Linked DNA regions of Saccharomyces cerevisiae S288C. The gene in region 1 interacts genetically with each later gene. Each region holds a gene or a part of one and is shown in the gene's direction. Other genes may lie near its edges. The genes, in order: GIS3, VAC7, MXR1 and PHO91.

What was found.
Region 2: mutations in GIS3 (region 1) and VAC7 together harm fitness more than expected from each alone (negative genetic interaction), as found in Saccharomyces cerevisiae (one large-scale study listed by BioGRID).
Region 3: mutations in GIS3 (region 1) and MXR1 together harm fitness more than expected from each alone (negative genetic interaction), as found in Saccharomyces cerevisiae (one large-scale study listed by BioGRID).
Region 4: mutations in GIS3 (region 1) and PHO91 together harm fitness more than expected from each alone (negative genetic interaction), as found in Saccharomyces cerevisiae (one large-scale study listed by BioGRID).

The regions. Positions count from the first base shown.
Region 1 is NC_001144.5:327,218-331,070, reverse strand, and holds GIS3 (Gis3p), read left to right. Parts: upstream 1-1,832; coding exon 1,833-3,341; downstream 3,342-3,853. Other genes in the region: IOC2 (Ioc2p), read left to right, coding at 1-1,394; NYV1 (Nyv1p), read left to right, coding at 3,656-3,671, 3,813-3,853.
Region 2 is NC_001146.8:524,345-530,125, forward strand, and holds VAC7 (Vac7p), read left to right. Parts: upstream 1-1,741; coding exon 1,742-5,239; downstream 5,240-5,781. Other genes in the region: tyrosine/serine/threonine protein phosphatase MSG5, read left to right, coding at 5,598-5,781. UniProt on the Saccharomyces cerevisiae protein: The PI(3,5)P2 regulatory complex regulates both the synthesis and turnover of phosphatidylinositol 3,5-bisphosphate (PtdIns(3,5)P2). Positively regulates FAB1 kinase activity.
Region 3 is NC_001137.3:233,244-236,042, forward strand, and holds MXR1 (peptide-methionine-S-sulfoxide reductase), read left to right. Parts: upstream 1-1,693; coding exon 1,694-2,248; downstream 2,249-2,799. Other genes in the region: YEN1 (crossover junction endodeoxyribonuclease), read left to right, coding at 1-1,497; SAH1 (adenosylhomocysteinase), read right to left, coding at 2,527-2,799. UniProt on the Saccharomyces cerevisiae protein: Has an important function as a repair enzyme for proteins that have been inactivated by oxidation. Catalyzes the reversible oxidation-reduction of methionine sulfoxide in proteins to methionine.
Region 4 is NC_001146.8:648,465-653,546, reverse strand, and holds PHO91 (Pho91p), read left to right. Parts: upstream 1-1,834; coding exon 1,835-4,519; downstream 4,520-5,082. Other genes in the region: SMM1 (tRNA-dihydrouridine(20) synthase (NAD(+))), read right to left, coding at 1-160; YNR014W (uncharacterized protein), read right to left, coding at 444-1,082; uridine kinase URK1, read right to left, coding at 4,610-5,082. UniProt on the Saccharomyces cerevisiae protein: Vacuolar phosphate transporter that probably exports phosphate from the vacuolar lumen to the cytosol.

The DNA.
Region 1 (3,853 bases):
ATAGACTATATTCGGCAAAACTTTTGGCCAACAGAGAAAAGGAGAGAGCAATTGCGGAGCTAATGACAAGGAGGAAAAGATCTTCGAGACTGGTAGCGAAAGAGGAAGAAAACAAGAAAAAAGACTTGGAAAGTGAGTGGTTTGAAAAACTAGATGAAAGAGAACAATTTATAAGGCACAGAAACAAGCTAGTGTCGAAGGAAATCAAAAAGATAAAAGATCTTCTTTGGAACCAATTGTGGCAATTGTACGATCAAGATTATAGAGATGAAAAATTGACCAGGCGTAACGAGCTCAAAGATAGAAGTGGTTCTGGTACACCGTTTTTTGAAACGTCTTTGGGCAGGGAGGAGGACAATCCCTTAAATGAAATCGATATCGGAGTTCTTGATCACGGCCCTAACTTTCAATCTAGTATAATCCCGGTGGAACCACCAATTCCTGGAACTGTTGGGCCACTACAGACGGGAGACGTCCCTGAATTGCCTAGTGACTTCTGCATAACAAAGGAAGAGCTAGATGAGCTTGCCAACTACGGGATCTTTACTCCGCAGCAAGAGCCCGACAACCAAGATTCTGTTTTCCAATGTCCGGGCGAACCAGAGCTGGCGCCCATGATTATCACCGAAGACACGGAGACTGACCTCTTCAATAACCGCCCATTGATATGCTGTGATCATTGTTACAGGTGGCAGCATTGGGAATGCCAACCTCCAAAAATTATAGAGCTTATATCTTCAACCACAAAATCCCCACAGCACACGCTGTCGCAACGTGATTTTGGCGTCATCATAATGGGAAATTCGCACGGCAATAGAAGGTCTTCTCGCAGACCCCAATCCACACTTGAACCCAGCACCAAGTCTTCAAGACCTACTGATAAACGCAAACCGCTGTCTGAATGCTCCACTTTTATCTGCGCTTGGTGCATCAGGGACTTGGAACTTGAGCTGCGCAACATTTTTGTGCCTGAATTGAAAATAATAAGGGCCAAACAAAGAAAACAACAGGAAGACCGTGAAAGAAGAAAAAAAATGAAGGAAGAAAAGAAAAGGCTCGAAGAGCTTGCAAAGAAAAGGGAACTAACCGAGTCTGTCTCACCTCCAGTGTTTAATAATGCATTTGCAAACATGTCAAGTAGCACAACGCCTAGTATCGCCGCTTACGAAAAAACAAATCCAGCCATCAATCCAGCACCTAATGTAAATGCCGCTCACCCCATAATTACATACTCGCAGCAAACTGGCAGCAAAACTGTACCACAAGCACCACAGGCACCACAAACATCACAAGCATCAATCCAACCACAGCAGCAACAGCAACAGCAACAGCAACAGCAACCGCTGCACCCTAAAGAACAGAACTTTCACTTCCAGTTCCCACCAACCAACTAGCCTCATATAGAAATACACAGCAAAAGTATATAGTAAAATATATATCAACTGGTTCTTCATGAAACTTTCTTTTCCAGCCGCACATCCGTAGGGCTTCTGTCGCTTCATGTCGGGTAATAATGATGCTTAGGGCTTAGCGCCAAAATAATTAGGGTGTATGAGGCGGCTCCTGACTAGGGTCAGACGGCATTTTTTCGTCTTTTTTTATCCGGTTTTTCGTCAGTGGCCATCCTTAATGCGCGGCAAAGGTGCTGAAGGCGCCTTATTGTGTTAAAAAAGCCAATGAAATAAAAGTGGGATGGTGAGAACGCCAAACGAGTGAAACAGAGAATGGAAACTCGCTTCTTCACAAGTATTTGATGGCTAGTTTTCTCAATTACTTGTTTCTTTGGATAGACACGAACATACAGAACACTTTCAACAAGACATAATTATAGAATGCTGCTGGACGTGAACACAAATCACACACTAATGCACGATGCTCATGTGCATGAACATTGCCTCATCAAAAGCATACGTGATGATGGCGCATTGCACTCATGGAGCGACTCATCAAAGGTATTTTATCCCAAGTCATTTTACGCTACCGCTACTAATAAGAAGAATAACAAGTTAGCCAGCGCCAGCATGAACAAGACCGCCACAAGTAATAGGACGGTGAGCGATGAGATTTATTTCCACTCCACTAAGCCGCAGTTCGATGGTCAAGGAAGCGCTGAACGTACTAGAACACTAACCAAGAGGAATAGCTTCAAGAGGACTAGAATACTGAAGGCTCGAGACGATTCCGAACTGCTGAACGAAAATCGCTCATCTTTGATGACCCCGTCCTTAAGCTCGGTCATGTCGCAAGTTAGGAAAACAAATTCCGCCAAGACGTTATCGGGCGAATGCCCCATACATGAGGGCCACTTAACACAGAGCATAAAGAGGAAGTTCTCCGAGGAAGCTCAAAGCGACTGTTCTTCATTGAGCTCCTCTAAACTTCATCCCTTGACAGATGATATTGCTGACGCTGTCGATTTGCAGACCCCCGCGATTGGCGATGAGGTACTGGCTGAGCCGGTCGTGCCCAAAATGAAAATAATAAACATAAATGATCTCGATTTGTTCGACGACTGGGAGGTTAAGGATTTAGTCGATATCTTTCCTCCCGTATACGAACGGCGTCCGCGATCGTCCTCTGCCCTTTCACTGGTTTCTGCGTCGTCCGATGCCAAACTTCGTCCGACCTCTGTGGACTTCCAAATCATCGACAAGAAAGGCGGCAAGACTTCAAGAAGGAAGAGTAGGAGCAAATCGACTACAGAAAACATGATTTACGAAAATGACCTGGTAGAATTAGAACAATGGCCATCTGCATCACCATCGCCCGAGACCGACGGTTCGATTGCATCTAGCGAGCTCTTGCCCAATAAAAGAATAAGACAAAAAAGTTTGAATACCAATTTCCTAAAGTTATACTCTATTGAAACATCATGTAAAAGGAAGAGTATTTTACCCGAAGTCGAAGTAGATGACCATCTGTTGAAGCAGCTAACGTATTCCGAAATTCGGTCTTTGGAAATCAAAAAGGAGCCAAATGTCTCTACGAACGATATTAAGCTTGCCCTAATTACTAGGAAAAAATTATGGTCTGACATGGTCCATGAAACAAGAAATGATCTTTTTGGCGATTCTACCCCCTGGAATTTGCACTTTGTTGCAACGACAAGCAATACGGAACCTTCGCAAGGCCGTGAATCCGCAAGCGAACATGCAACGGCGGATTTGAAAAGTTCTTTGGTCCGCGTACACTCAGACGTCAAGCCATGGTTCAACAATGGCGGCACAATGCTCAAACCATGCGGAAAACTAAATTTAGGCAAAGTCACCAATAAGACTTCCGCACCTACGAGAGAGATTCAATATGTCGTAAAGGGCTGGTGTGACAGCAGGTTTCTCTGATAGACCCCCCACCTTTTCATCGCCTTCACCCCACCCATTTGCATTATCTAAAAATAGTAAACTATATATTCTACCACCACATTCATTATATATAATATTTAAAACAACGCATTACCACCAAGCGCCCGGGTAATATTCGCCTCAAACGATCGAAGAAAGAAAAAATGAGGTCACAATAATGATGAAAAAAAGCCCCTCTATGAATTTTCTAGCACTTGACTAAGTTGGAGCAACAGCTATTAAATTTGAAGAACAGAGTGAAAAGCGACAATTTATTAAGCTGTTAGAGCATTGGACTTTTATATTTTTACCAAATGAAACGCTTTAATGGTATGTATAAATATTTCTACACAATTAACAAATGTTTAAAAAAGGGATTATGCGAATGCTCATCCCCCCATGCCATAATTTTACTATGTTACATTCAGTAGACTAACGTTCCATTTTGCTTGATTTTGCATATGGTCTTAGTAAGTTATGTGGAAGTTATAAAAAATGGTGAAACAATATCT
Region 2 (5,781 bases), on another chromosome or scaffold:
GAAAGTCGACAAAGGCTTCGTTAACATGCACTTCAACTACAGAAGCAGAAATACACGCAGTCAGTGAAGCTATTCCGCTATTGAATAACCTCAGTCACCTTGTGCAAGAACTTAACAAGAAACCAATTATTAAAGGCTTACTTACTGATAGTAGATCAACGATCAGTATAATTAAGTCTACAAATGAAGAGAAATTTAGAAACAGATTTTTTGGCACAAAGGCAATGAGACTTAGAGATGAAGTATCAGGTAATAATTTATACGTATACTACATCGAGACCAAGAAGAACATTGCTGATGTGATGACAAAACCTCTTCCGATAAAAACATTTAAACTATTAACTAACAAATGGATTCATTAGATCTATTACATTATGGGTGGTATGTTGGAATAAAAATCAACTATCATCTACTAACTAGTATTTACGTTACTAGTATATTATCATATACGGTGTTAGAAGATGACGCAAATGATGAGAAATAGTCATCTAAATTAGTGGAAGCTGAAACGCAAGGATTGATAATGTAATAGGATCAATGAATATTAACATATAAAACGATGATAATAATATTTATAGAATTGTGTAGAATTACAGATTTCCTTTTATGGATTCCTAAATCCTCGAGGAGAACTTCTAGTATATTCTGTATACCTAATATTATAGCCTTTATCAACAATGGAATCCCAACAATTATCTCAACATTCACCCATTTCTCAAAACTATCACGGAATACTAATCGAAGACTAGTGACGCACGTTACGCTATAGCAACAACGTCACAAGGATAACGTTAGTAGTTTTTTGGAAGGACAATTGCAAACTATATGTAAACGAACGAAGACACACAGTCCAAAGCTGTAACAACAACCACATATATAAATGGTAGTCTTCTAGGAAACTTCACTGTAAGATTAGATACGTAGAGGTGAAAGACAAGTTGAAGTTTGGATCGGAAGTTCCATTAATATTTGGGTAAGTAAGTTCGCCGCGCGGCAGAAACGGTGAGTACTTACTCACTTTTGTTCTAACTACAACAAAAAACTGTAAAAGTGGTGTAAGGTTTACGTTCCGTTTTGGTTGCAAATCATCAGCCCTGGTTTAAGCTTTATGTCCAACATTGGTTAGCGAAGGCACCGTACTGGTCTCGATGTCGGTGAGCAGGGGCGGCGAAATTCATTCCAATCTTGGATAATATATATGTATATATCTATACACGCGGCGAGATCTTGTCCTCTAATTTCCCTTCGCTAAATCATTAAGAGGTCATTCATGAAGTTAATTCAGCACCAAAGTTGGACTGTTAGACACGAGATACACATTGCAGTCCAAATGTGCAGATTTTTCAGATAATTGTCGTCGCACAAGACTGCCCCTCCCGTCCTCAGACAGACACAAAATTAGATTTTACGTTTACATAAAGATGTACATAACTTGAAAAAACGTTAATCCCTCTTAAATTTAGACCTTGTAAGTCTTCCTGGCCACTCTTTGTGATATATTGTAGTGCAATATATTGATTCGTTCTTCTTATTTCTTTGTTCTTAGGCATTTCCGCTTTAGAAAATTCGTTGGGTGGTTTCTGCGACGGGTATCCCCTTCGATTTTGCATAATGATCTTCAATTCTACAACTAAAATCAAGTAGATACAGGAAAATATTCCATAAATTATAGTGTAAATCGCCCTGTATACACCTTATCGTTTCATCTCAGGCAAGTTAAAGCATTTGGGAAACGTGCTAGATGACAGAAGAAGATAGAAAGCTCACTGTAGAGACAGAAACAGTTGAGGCACCCGTGGCAAATAATCTTTTATTGTCGAATAACAGTAATGTAGTAGCACCTAATCCTTCTATTCCCTCTGCCTCCACATCTACCTCTCCGCTACACAGGGAAATAGTTGATGATTCTGTCGCTACTGCTAACACCACCAGCAACGTTGTACAGCATAATTTGCCCACCATAGATAACAATTTAATGGATTCCGATGCCACGTCACATAATCAAGATCATTGGCATTCAGACATAAACAGGGCAGGAACATCAATGTCAACGAGTGATATCCCAACAGATTTACATTTAGAACATATCGGCTCTGTTTCATCAACTAATAATAATAGTAACAATGCCCTAATCAACCACAACCCTCTGTCATCTCATCTTTCCAATCCGTCATCTTCATTACGAAACAAGAAGAGCTCTTTGTTGGTAGCTTCTAACCCTGCGTTTGCTTCAGATGTTGAACTCTCGAAGAAGAAACCTGCCGTCATCTCCAATAATATGCCTACAAGTAACATTGCCCTTTATCAAACAGCGAGATCGGCGAATATTCATGGTCCATCATCAACTTCCGCATCTAAAGCGTTCAGAAAGGCTTCGGCCTTCTCCAATAACACGGCACCCAGCACTAGTAATAACATCGGCTCGAATACACCTCCAGCTCCTCTTTTACCTCTACCTTCACTATCACAACAAAATAAGCCAAAAATAATAGAGAGGCCCACAATGCACGTCACTAATTCAAGAGAAATACTTTTAGGTGAAAACCTGTTAGATGATACAAAGGCGAAGAATGCTCCCGCGAATTCAACCACACACGATAATGGTCCAGTAGCAAATGATGGGCTGCGTATACCGAATCACTCGAACGCAGATGATAATGAAAATAACAACAAAATGAAGAAGAATAAAAACATTAATAGTGGGAAAAATGAACGTAATGATGACACCAGCAAAATATGCACTACATCTACTAAAACAGCGCCTTCAACCGCACCTTTGGGCAGTACAGACAATACTCAGGCTCTCACTGCTAGTGTCTCCAGCAGTAATGCTGACAATCACAATAATAACAAGAAGAAAACCAGCAGCAACAACAACGGCAATAACAGTAATAGTGCATCCAATAAAACCAATGCCGATATCAAGAATTCTAACGCCGACTTGAGCGCTTCTACCTCTAACAATAATGCAATAAATGACGACTCACATGAGAGTAATTCAGAAAAACCAACAAAGGCGGATTTTTTCGCTGCAAGGCTGGCTACAGCTGTAGGTGAAAATGAAATTAGTGATTCTGAGGAAACATTTGTTTATGAATCGGCAGCTAATTCGACTAAAAACCTAATATTTCCTGACTCCTCCAGCCAGCAGCAGCAGCAGCAACAGCAACCTCCAAAACAACAGCAACAGCAACAAAATCATGGAATAACCTCAAAGATAAGCGCCCCATTGCTAAACAATAACAAAAAATTATTAAGCCGACTGAAAAATTCAAGACATATTAGCACTGGTGCCATATTGAATAACACAATCGCGACTATAAGCACAAATCCGAACTTGAATTCTAATGTGATGCAGAACAATAACAATCTGATGTCGGGACACAATCACCTGGACGAGTTGAGCAGTATAAAACAGGAGCCACCGCATCAATTGCAGCAGCAGCAACCACCAATGGATGTACAATCGGTAGATTCGTATACCTCTGACAACCCAGACAGCAATGTTATTGCCAAGTCGCCTGATAAGAGGTCAAGCTTAGTATCCCTATCTAAAGTTTCTCCACATTTACTTTCATCCACATCAAGCAACGGTAACACAATATCGTGTCCCAATGTTGCCACAAATTCGCAGGAATTGGAACCAAACAATGATATTTCAACGAAGAAATCTCTTTCCAATTCTACTTTGAGACATTCCTCTGCTAATAGAAATTCTAATTATGGTGACAACAAAAGGCCTCTTAGAACAACAGTGTCAAAGATATTTGATTCAAACCCTAATGGAGCTCCTTTACGGAGATACTCTGGGGTACCGGATCACGTTAATCTAGAAGATTACATCGAACAGCCGCATAATTATCCAACAATGCAAAATAGTGTGAAAAAGGATGAATTTTATAACAGCAGGAACAATAAGTTTCCCCATGGTTTAAACTTTTATGGTGATAACAATGTTATTGAAGAGGAAAATAATGGTGACTCGTCTAATGTAAATCGACCGCAACACACTAACCTTCAGCATGAGTTTATTCCAGAAGATAACGAAAGTGATGAAAACGATATTCACTCCATGTTTTATTATAATCATAAGAACGATTTAGAAACAAAACCGCTAATATCCGATTATGGTGAAGATGAAGACGTAGATGATTATGATCGCCCAAATGCTACTTTCAACAGTTACTATGGCTCAGCATCCAACACGCACGAACTTCCATTACATGGAAGGATGCCTTCAAGATCAAATAATGATTACTACGATTTTATGGTTGGCAACAATACTGGCAATAACAACCAATTGAATGAATATACCCCCTTAAGAATGAAACGTGGTCAAAGACACCTATCAAGAACAAACAATAGCATAATGAATGGTAGCATCCATATGAATGGTAACGATGACGTTACCCATTCCAATATCAATAATAACGATATTGTTGGTTACTCACCGCACAACTTTTACTCAAGGAAGTCCCCATTTGTGAAAGTAAAGAATTTTCTTTATCTTGCATTTGTTATATCATCACTATTGATGACAGGATTCATTCTGGGATTTTTATTGGCCACTAATAAAGAACTACAAGATGTAGACGTGGTAGTGATGGATAATGTGATTTCAAGTTCGGACGAGTTGATCTTCGACATCACAGTAAGTGCTTTTAATCCAGGATTCTTCAGTATAAGCGTTTCCCAAGTCGATTTGGACATTTTTGCAAAAAGTTCTTACCTGAAGTGCGATTCTAATGGTGACTGTACAGTAATGGAACAGGAACGGAAAATTTTACAAATAACGACAAATCTTTCGTTAGTTGAAGAGAGTGCTAATAATGATATTAGTGGTGGGAACATAGAGACGGTATTACTAGGAACCGCTAAAAAACTAGAGACACCATTAAAGTTCCAGGGCGGCGCATTTAATAGGAACTACGATGTGTCAGTCTCGAGTGTCAAGCTTTTAAGTCCTGGGTCTCGTGAAGCCAAGCACGAAAACGACGATGATGACGATGATGATGGCGACGATGGTGACGATGAAAACAATACTAATGAAAGACAATACAAAAGCAAACCAAATGCTAGAGATGACAAAGAAGATGATACTAAAAAATGGAAGCTACTAATCAAGCATGATTACGAATTGATAGTCCGTGGAAGCATGAAGTATGAGGTGCCCTTTTTCAATACGCAAAAATCTACGGCTATTCAAAAGGATTCCATGGTCCATCCTGGTAAGAAGTGAGTGTTAAGAATGTAGCTTTTTCGTCAAAGCTGGGTATTTTTCTTTTTATAGCGCAGGAGCGGAAGGCAATTTCCAAAACAGGAATGTACTTTCCAAAAAAGGAAAATGTAGTTTGTTTTTTGATGTTTTTTTCTCTTTGACTATTTCAAATTTAGAAGTGAAAAAATACAAAAATGTTACATAGGATTCGATACAGTGTAATATATCATTATTATTACTTTTAAATAAAGCGTTTAGTAAACAAGAGTGAGGGTTATGCAACTCGTTTAGTAAACATTCTTTTTTTTTTCTTCATTTAAGTATAAGACAACAATAGTAGCGGAAGCGATAGTAATACATTTGGTAGCGATAAGTGCACATGCAATTTCACTCAGATAAGCAGCATTTGGACAGTAAAACCGACATCGATTTCAAGCCAAACTCACCGCGTTCCTTACAAAATAGGAATACCAAAAATTTATCTTTAGATATAGCAGCACTCCATCCATTAATGGAATTCTCATCGCCAAGCCAAGATGTGCCAGGTTCAGTAAAATTCCCAT
Region 3 (2,799 bases), on another chromosome or scaffold:
CTACCCAAAATTAATAAAGTAGCAGGGAAGAAGTTTGATCGCCTGTCTCTCTTATTTTTCAGCGTGCTATTAGGTGCCGATTACAATCGTGGAGTCAAGGGTTTGGGTAAAAACAAATCTTTGCAGTTGGCTCAATGCGAAGATCCTAACTTTTCCATGGAATTTTATGACATTTTCAAAGATTTCAATTTAGAAGATTTGACATCAGAAAGTCTGAGGAAGTCTCGGTATAGATTGTTTCAAAAAAGATTATATTTATACTGCAAGGATCATTCTGTCGAGCTATTTGGAAGAAATTATCCTGTTTTATTGAATCAAGGTTCATTTGAAGGCTGGCCATCAACTGTCGCAATCATGCACTATTTTCACCCCATTGTCCAACCATATTTTGATGAAGAAGTTCTCAGTGATAAATACATAAATATGGCTGGAAACGGACACTACAGAAACTTAAATTTCAATGAACTGAAATATTTTTTACAAAGTTTGAATTTGCCTCAAATTTCTAGCTTCGACAAGTGGTTTCATGATTCTATGCACGAGATGTTTCTATTAAGAGAATTTTTATCAATTGATGAGTCCGATAATATAGGTAAAGGTAATATGAGGATTACCGAAGAAAAAATTATGAACATAGATGGTGGAAAGTTCCAAATACCATGTTTTAAAATACGGTATACAACATTCTTGCCTAATATACCCATTTCTTCTCAATCTCCTTTGAAGCGCAGTAATTCTCCCAGTAGAAGCAAGAGTCCCACACGACGTCAGATGGATATAATGGAACACCCAAATAGTCTTTGGTTACCCAAATACTTGATACCTCAATCGCATCCATTAGTAATTCAATATTATGAGACACAGCAACTTATACAGAAAGAAAAAGAGAAGAAAGGTAAAAAATCGAATAAGTCTCGGCTACCACAGAAGAATAACTTGGATGAGTTTTTAAGAAAGCATACTTCGCCGATTAAAAGTATCGGAAAGGTAGGCGAGTCGAGAAAGGAAATCCTGGAACCTGTGAGAAAAAGGCTTTTTGTAGATACAGACGAAGATACTAGTCTGGAAGAAATACCGGCTCCCACAAGACTGACCACCGTCGATGAACACAGCGATAATGACGATGATTCGTTGATTTTTGTAGATGAGATTACAAACAGCCAAAGCGTTTTAGATAGTTCACCCGGTAAAAGAATTCGGGATCTTACACAGGACGAACAGGTTGACGTTTGGAAGGACGTAATAGAAATATCACCAATAAAAAAGTCAAGAACTACTAATGCTGAGAAAAATCCGCCTGAGTCTGGTTTAAAATCACGCTCAAGCATCACAATCAATGCTCGCCTTCAAGGTACTAAGATGTTGCCTCCAAACTTGACTGCTCCAAGGTTAGAAAGAGAACACTCCTCTGTCCTTGACCAACTTGTCACAGACGCACAAGATACAGTCGACCGGTTTGTAGCCTGTGACAGTGATAGCAGTAGCACTATTGAATGAGTTAACGGGCACAGCGTCAAAAAATCCGCCACCACAGTTGATCGCGCCGAAAACGAGGGAGTTGCGATGAGTAAAATGAAGGGCATATATAAACAAGAGTAGACAGAGACACATTTTTCAATATCATATATATAGATTTAATTGGAAAGACAGTTATATTCTAACGTCAAAAACTTAACAAGTAAATCAAGTTGCAATGTCGTCGCTTATTTCAAAAACCATTAAGTATGATCCAGCCAAGGATAAATTAATCACATTAGCATGTGGATGTTTTTGGGGTACAGAACATATGTATAGGAAGTATTTGAATGACCGTATAGTGGATTGTAAAGTAGGTTACGCTAATGGAGAAGAGTCTAAAAAGGATAGCCCCTCTAGTGTCTCTTATAAGAGAGTTTGTGGTGGTGACACAGATTTTGCGGAGGTTTTACAAGTATCCTATAATCCCAAAGTGATAACTTTGAGAGAATTAACTGATTTCTTTTTTAGAATCCATGATCCTACTACATCTAATTCACAAGGACCTGATAAAGGTACACAGTATCGCAGTGGATTGTTCGCTCATTCAGATGCTGATTTAAAAGAATTAGCCAAAATAAAGGAAGAATGGCAACCAAAATGGGGTAATAAGATTGCCACAGTTATTGAACCAATCAAGAACTTTTACGATGCTGAAGAATACCACCAGTTATATTTAGATAAGAATCCACAGGGATATGCATGCCCTACTCATTATCTGAGAGAAATGTAGCTTTTTTAGTGTACGTGCCCTTATTTATGAAAAAAAGTCAAGTGCATGAATGAAATATTTACTGTTGAAGAATTTATTATATATATAGGTATACAGGATCTATCTTTTCGATAACGTAACTTAGTATCACATGTATTAGTATTAATACTGTGATAGGATTGTTAGCTGTTGTTTTTATATTTGCAATTTATTTATGATCTTTTTTGATGATCAAACCGTTGAGTTTTTGAACATTAAAAAATAGTGAGAAAGAAGAACTGAAATGGGAATTGAATTGATCAATATCTGTAGTGGTCGGCCTTGAATGGACCTTCTTCTGGAATACCCAAGTATTCAGATTGGACTTTACTCAATTTAGTCAATCTAACACCCAAGTTGCCCAAGTGGAACTTAGCGACAGCTTCATCCAAGATCTTTGGCAAAACGTGGACACCAACTTCGAATGGGCCTGTCTTTTGGAATTCAATGTGCTTTTCTCTGAAAGACTTATCGTTAGACTTGAACAAAGCAATTTGAGCTAAGACTTGGTTAGAGAAGGAACAAGACATAAC
Region 4 (5,082 bases), on another chromosome or scaffold:
GTGCAGTGTTTTCCTTCCTGACGCACTGAATTAGCTTTTTGTCGATGATTTCTGGGGACCAGACGAGATCTGCACCGTGGGCCAGCGCCATCAGTCTCGTGGGCAGTTCGCCGGCTCTTACCATTGGAGCTAGAACCAGTTTTCCAGCATATGTAACCATGATCTCTGTGTGACTGCGCTATTTGGTGTGGCTTGGATGGATGAAATAGCAAAAGTTTTTCAAGACGGTTTTCATTTTTTCTTCGAGCGAAGTGATGAGCAAAGTAGAGGAAATGGAAAGCGGCAAAAAATGCATTGTCGATTTTAGTAATGAATATATAAAACGACGGAAATATATATATACATGGCTGCGTAGACCACGCAGAACTGTATATGTATGTATGTATAGAGGAGGGATGGGAAATGCTGTGTGACGATAGACAGATGGATGGACGAATGGATAACTACGTCTCTAGTCTCTCATACAATGGTTTGTCAAACTTGACGGCGACCGAGTTTCTTCTGTGGTGATGTCTGTTGCAAGGACAAGACGGGTCTGAGTGGTCGTTAGGAGACGCGGATGTTTGCGGCTCCTGTTGGTCACTGATGGGGAACATCATGCTATGCTGGGCGTACGAGACGGACCTTTTCATCTCGGACGACGAGCGATTATCGAAGGAGGGCAGTTGTGGCTCACTGGCCCTTCTTTGAAAGTTTTTGTGATGCGCGCATTGGTGGAAGTCGCTTGCCGGCAATACAGAGTTGCGCCTAGAAGAGGGCAGTAGTGACGGCGAGGTTGGGTCAGAAGTCAAGCACGAGGCTGCGGTGTAGTTACTCTTGAACAATGAGGGCCGCGTAGGGTCTGCTACAACGGGAGCGGAAACATTAAGTACAGTCTCGACGATTTCATTGTCAGTTGATAAAGCAGGCGGTAAGCCGACGGAGCTGCCTCTGGGGGAGCAGGCTTTAGATGTAGCAGAGGAGCAGGAGCTGCTGCTGCTGCTCCTGCTGCTGCTTCTGTCCGCGATCGACTTGTAGTGGAAGGTGATGTGAGCGGAAACAGGGATGTTCACGGCACAAGGCTTGATATCCGTGGACGACATGGAACGTTTATTAGTTATATTTTTCGAGAAAAAATCTGAAACTTGCAGATCATTAGTTTACGCTTCGGATGTACACACACATACCTATATACATATATACATACACATATATATACATTTGTGTGCTCGTATGCGTACTGTTTTGCACTGGGCTGATTCGAGAAAGTCAAAAAGCTTAACTGGCCAGAAAAAGAAATTAAAACGGCACCGAGGGGTCGAAACCTTCCGTTTCTGCGAAGGCCCTTTGTTCTTTTGCTTTTGATCCGAAATGAGGGGCGGCGAGAGGTAAGGGGTAGAGGGGCTGGAACTCTCGCTGATGTTCTGAGCGAGGTGTTCAGGTGGGCCTATCCGCCTTAATCACTCCGGCGTGGGGAAAGAAAGCAGAGAGCGAGCAGAGAGCGAGCAGAGAGTGGGTGATGTCAGAGAACGATAATCCTGATGGGGGGTGGAACTTTATTACCCTACTTGAATTTTTTTATTTTGGTAGGGTAACTTTTATTCCCTTGAAAAAAATACTTCTGGTTACCCGGATCCGTTTTTTTTCGGGGATCCACGTGATGGCTTTTTGATCAGGACTAATTTTAAAACTGAAAAAAAAAAAAAAAAATTGAGTATGTCTTGCATGTATGAAAATTGATAAGTAACTAGGAAAAATGCCGCTCAAAATCTTAGTAAAAATAACTTCTTTTCTTTTTTTACTTAGTCAAATAAAAAGAAAACTGTGAAGGTGACACGGTAACTTGCAGACTGACATGAAGTTCTCGCATTCCTTACAATTCAATTCTGTACCAGAATGGTCTACCAAGTATCTGGCCTATTCGCAGCTGAAAAAATTGATCTATTCTTTGCAAAAAGATAAGCTGTACAGTAACAATAAGCACCATGTTGTGGAGCCACATGACGCCAACGATGAAAATCTGCCGCTATTGGCAGATGCTTCTCCAGATGATCAATTCTACATCTCTAAATTTGTTGCTGCCTTAAACCAAGAATTGAAAAAAATTGATAAATTCTACATATCTCAAGAAACAGGTCTTATCGCCAACTACAACGAATTGAAGGACGATGTCATGGAACTGGAAAACACGAACAAGGCCACCCAATTGTTTAATCAGCAGCAACAGCATCAACTGCAAAGTGTTGCAAGAAACAGGAAGTCTAAGTCACAACAACGCCAAAGAAGGTTTAGTAGTGTCTCCTCCACGGACTCCAACCCCTCTCTGACAGACATGTCGATTGACTCTGCACCCGTCATCCACACGCAGGTCTCGAACACGACTAATAATGGTAACTCAATGCAAAACCTGGCCTCCGCTTCAGTGTCGCTTTCTAACTCTAACCCTGTGTATCTTTCTCCTTTTACCCAACATAGGCTCTCTTTAAAGAAAAGATTGATATCGATCTACACCCAGTTGTCCGAGTTGAAGGACTTTATTGAGTTGAACCAGACCGGGTTCTCCAAGATCTGCAAGAAATTTGACAAGTCCTTAAATACGAACTTGAAGCAGAACTACTTGAACTATATCAAATTCCATTCGCATGTTTTCAATCCTGCTACAATAAATAGGATTCAGCATCACATTACCGAGACCATCCTCACTTACGCTAGCTTGAACAAGGGCACGCGTCGACCATCTAATACGTTTAACTTGGACGCTGACCGAATCAACAATGACGAAAACAGCAGCGGTAATGAAGAAGACGAAGATGGCAACAGACAAGAAGTCCTCGATTTCCAGGATGCTGAGCGTGAATTATCCTCTCATTTGAGAGATCACGTAGTTTGGGAAAGAAACACCGTTTGGAAAGATATGATGAATTTGGAGAGAAAGTACCAATCTGCCAAGACTGACAACAAGAAGTTTTCAAAGTTGAGTTCCAGTCAATTGCGCCCCAATGCCAACATTACTGAATCCATGGCAATGTCGAGTGGTGGCGCCGGTATCATCGCTCCATCAACGGATTCCCTAACTTTCCGTGAACTCATGCATTTACCACCCAAGCAATGGTTGCAATTTATCATGGGCCAAACTTCCCTGCTGAAGTTTCTGTTAATCACCTCATGTTTCATTGCATTATTAACTTTTAATTTGACTCCTTTTACGCAGGATTCCTTACAGAAAAACTGTTTCGCCATCTTAATATATGCATCTTTATTATGGGCCACTGAGACCATCCCCCTTTTCGTGACTTCTCTAATGATTCCTCTGCTTATTGTAGTGTTCCCTGTTATCAAGGACCCTATCACCTCCCAACCAATGTCTCCCCGTGATTCCTCTCAGTTCATCTTATCAACGATGTGGTCGAGTGTCATCATGCTTTTGCTGGGTGGGTTTACTTTAGCAGCCGCCCTTTCCAAGTACAACATTGCCAAAGTCCTTTCTACGCATATTTTGGCATCCGCCGGTACAAACCCACATTTTATTCTTTTAACAAATATGTTTGTGGCGCTCTTTGTTTCCATGTGGGTTTCTAATGTTGCTGCCCCCGTTCTTTGCTATTCAATTGTTCAACCTTTGCTCAGAACACTGCCAAGAAATTGTTCCTATGCCAAAGCTCTAATTCTTGGTATCGCTCTTGCCTCCAATATCGGTGGTATGTCTTCTCCCATCGCTTCTCCTCAAAACATTTTTTCTATTGGTATAATGGACCCTTCACCATCTTGGGCTGAATGGTTTATGATTGCGCTACCTGTGTGCTTTATTTGTGTCATGGCAATTTGGGTGCTATTGATCATAACCTTCCCTCCTGAGCCAAATGTGAAAATTTTGCAATTGCATCCATCCCGTGATCCATTCACTCTGAAGCAATGGTTTGTCACTTTAGTTTGCATTATAACAATTGTTCTTTGGTGTCTTTCAAACCAAATCTCCGGTATCTTTGGTGAAATGGGAATCATATCTATTATACCTATAGTAGTCTTCTTCGGTACAGGTCTTCTAACTTCGGATGATTTCAATAATTTCATGTGGACAATCGTTGTTTTGGCCATGGGAGGTACCACCCTAGGTAAGGCGGTAAGCTCATCCGGTTTATTGTCTACAATGGCACAGTTAATTAAGGCGCAGGTTGAGCATGAACCAATCTTCATTATTGTGTTGATCTTCGGTCTAGTGATTCTTGTAATGGCCACTTTTGTCTCCCATACCGTCGCGGCAATGATCATCGTACCATTAATGAGTGAGATCGGTTCCAATCTACCTTCAGGTGATCATTCTAGACTATTGATCGTTATAGCCGCCCTATTATGCTCTAGTGCTATGGGTCTTCCAACCTCTGGTTTCCCCAACGTGACTGCCATTTCAATGATTGATGAAGTTGGTGATAGATATTTGACCGTGGGTACATTTATTACGAGAGGTGTACCAGCCAGTTTGTTAAGTTATGCCGCTATTGTTACAGTAGGTTATGGCATATTGAAAGTAATGGGATTTTAAGATTATCCATAGAGAGAATGAAAGGTTACTAATATAGTATGTATACGTGCACTATTATTTAATTTTACTTTATATTGCCTCTAATTATTCTCAATCACAACCAAAATACTTTGAATCAAAAAATCTGGTCAATGCCCATTTGTATTGATGATTTTGTAACTTTTCTCTGGAGATGATCATACCAGCAAAAATGTTGACTTTGTTATCAAATGCATTTAATATACGTCGGATACCAACTTCAGTGGCCAAATAAACCACCACGCTAATCTTTTCCAAATCAATACCATGATCTAAAAGCACCTGGATGGCCATGATCATGGCCGCACCACTTATGATTTGACCTTCCATTAAGAAAACCTTGCCAAACTTTTCTATATTTGGGGGTAAAAATTCGCAATGCAGTTGAGGTTCCCCAGTTTGTGAATCGGACTGAATCAACAATTTACCAATTGTGATATTGGGGATCGTCTTTCTCAAAGACTTCATAAAACAATCGCCAGATCGAATAATATTAACAGCTGTAACTTGATCGAATTGACAGGCAATAACGTTTTCCATGGTAT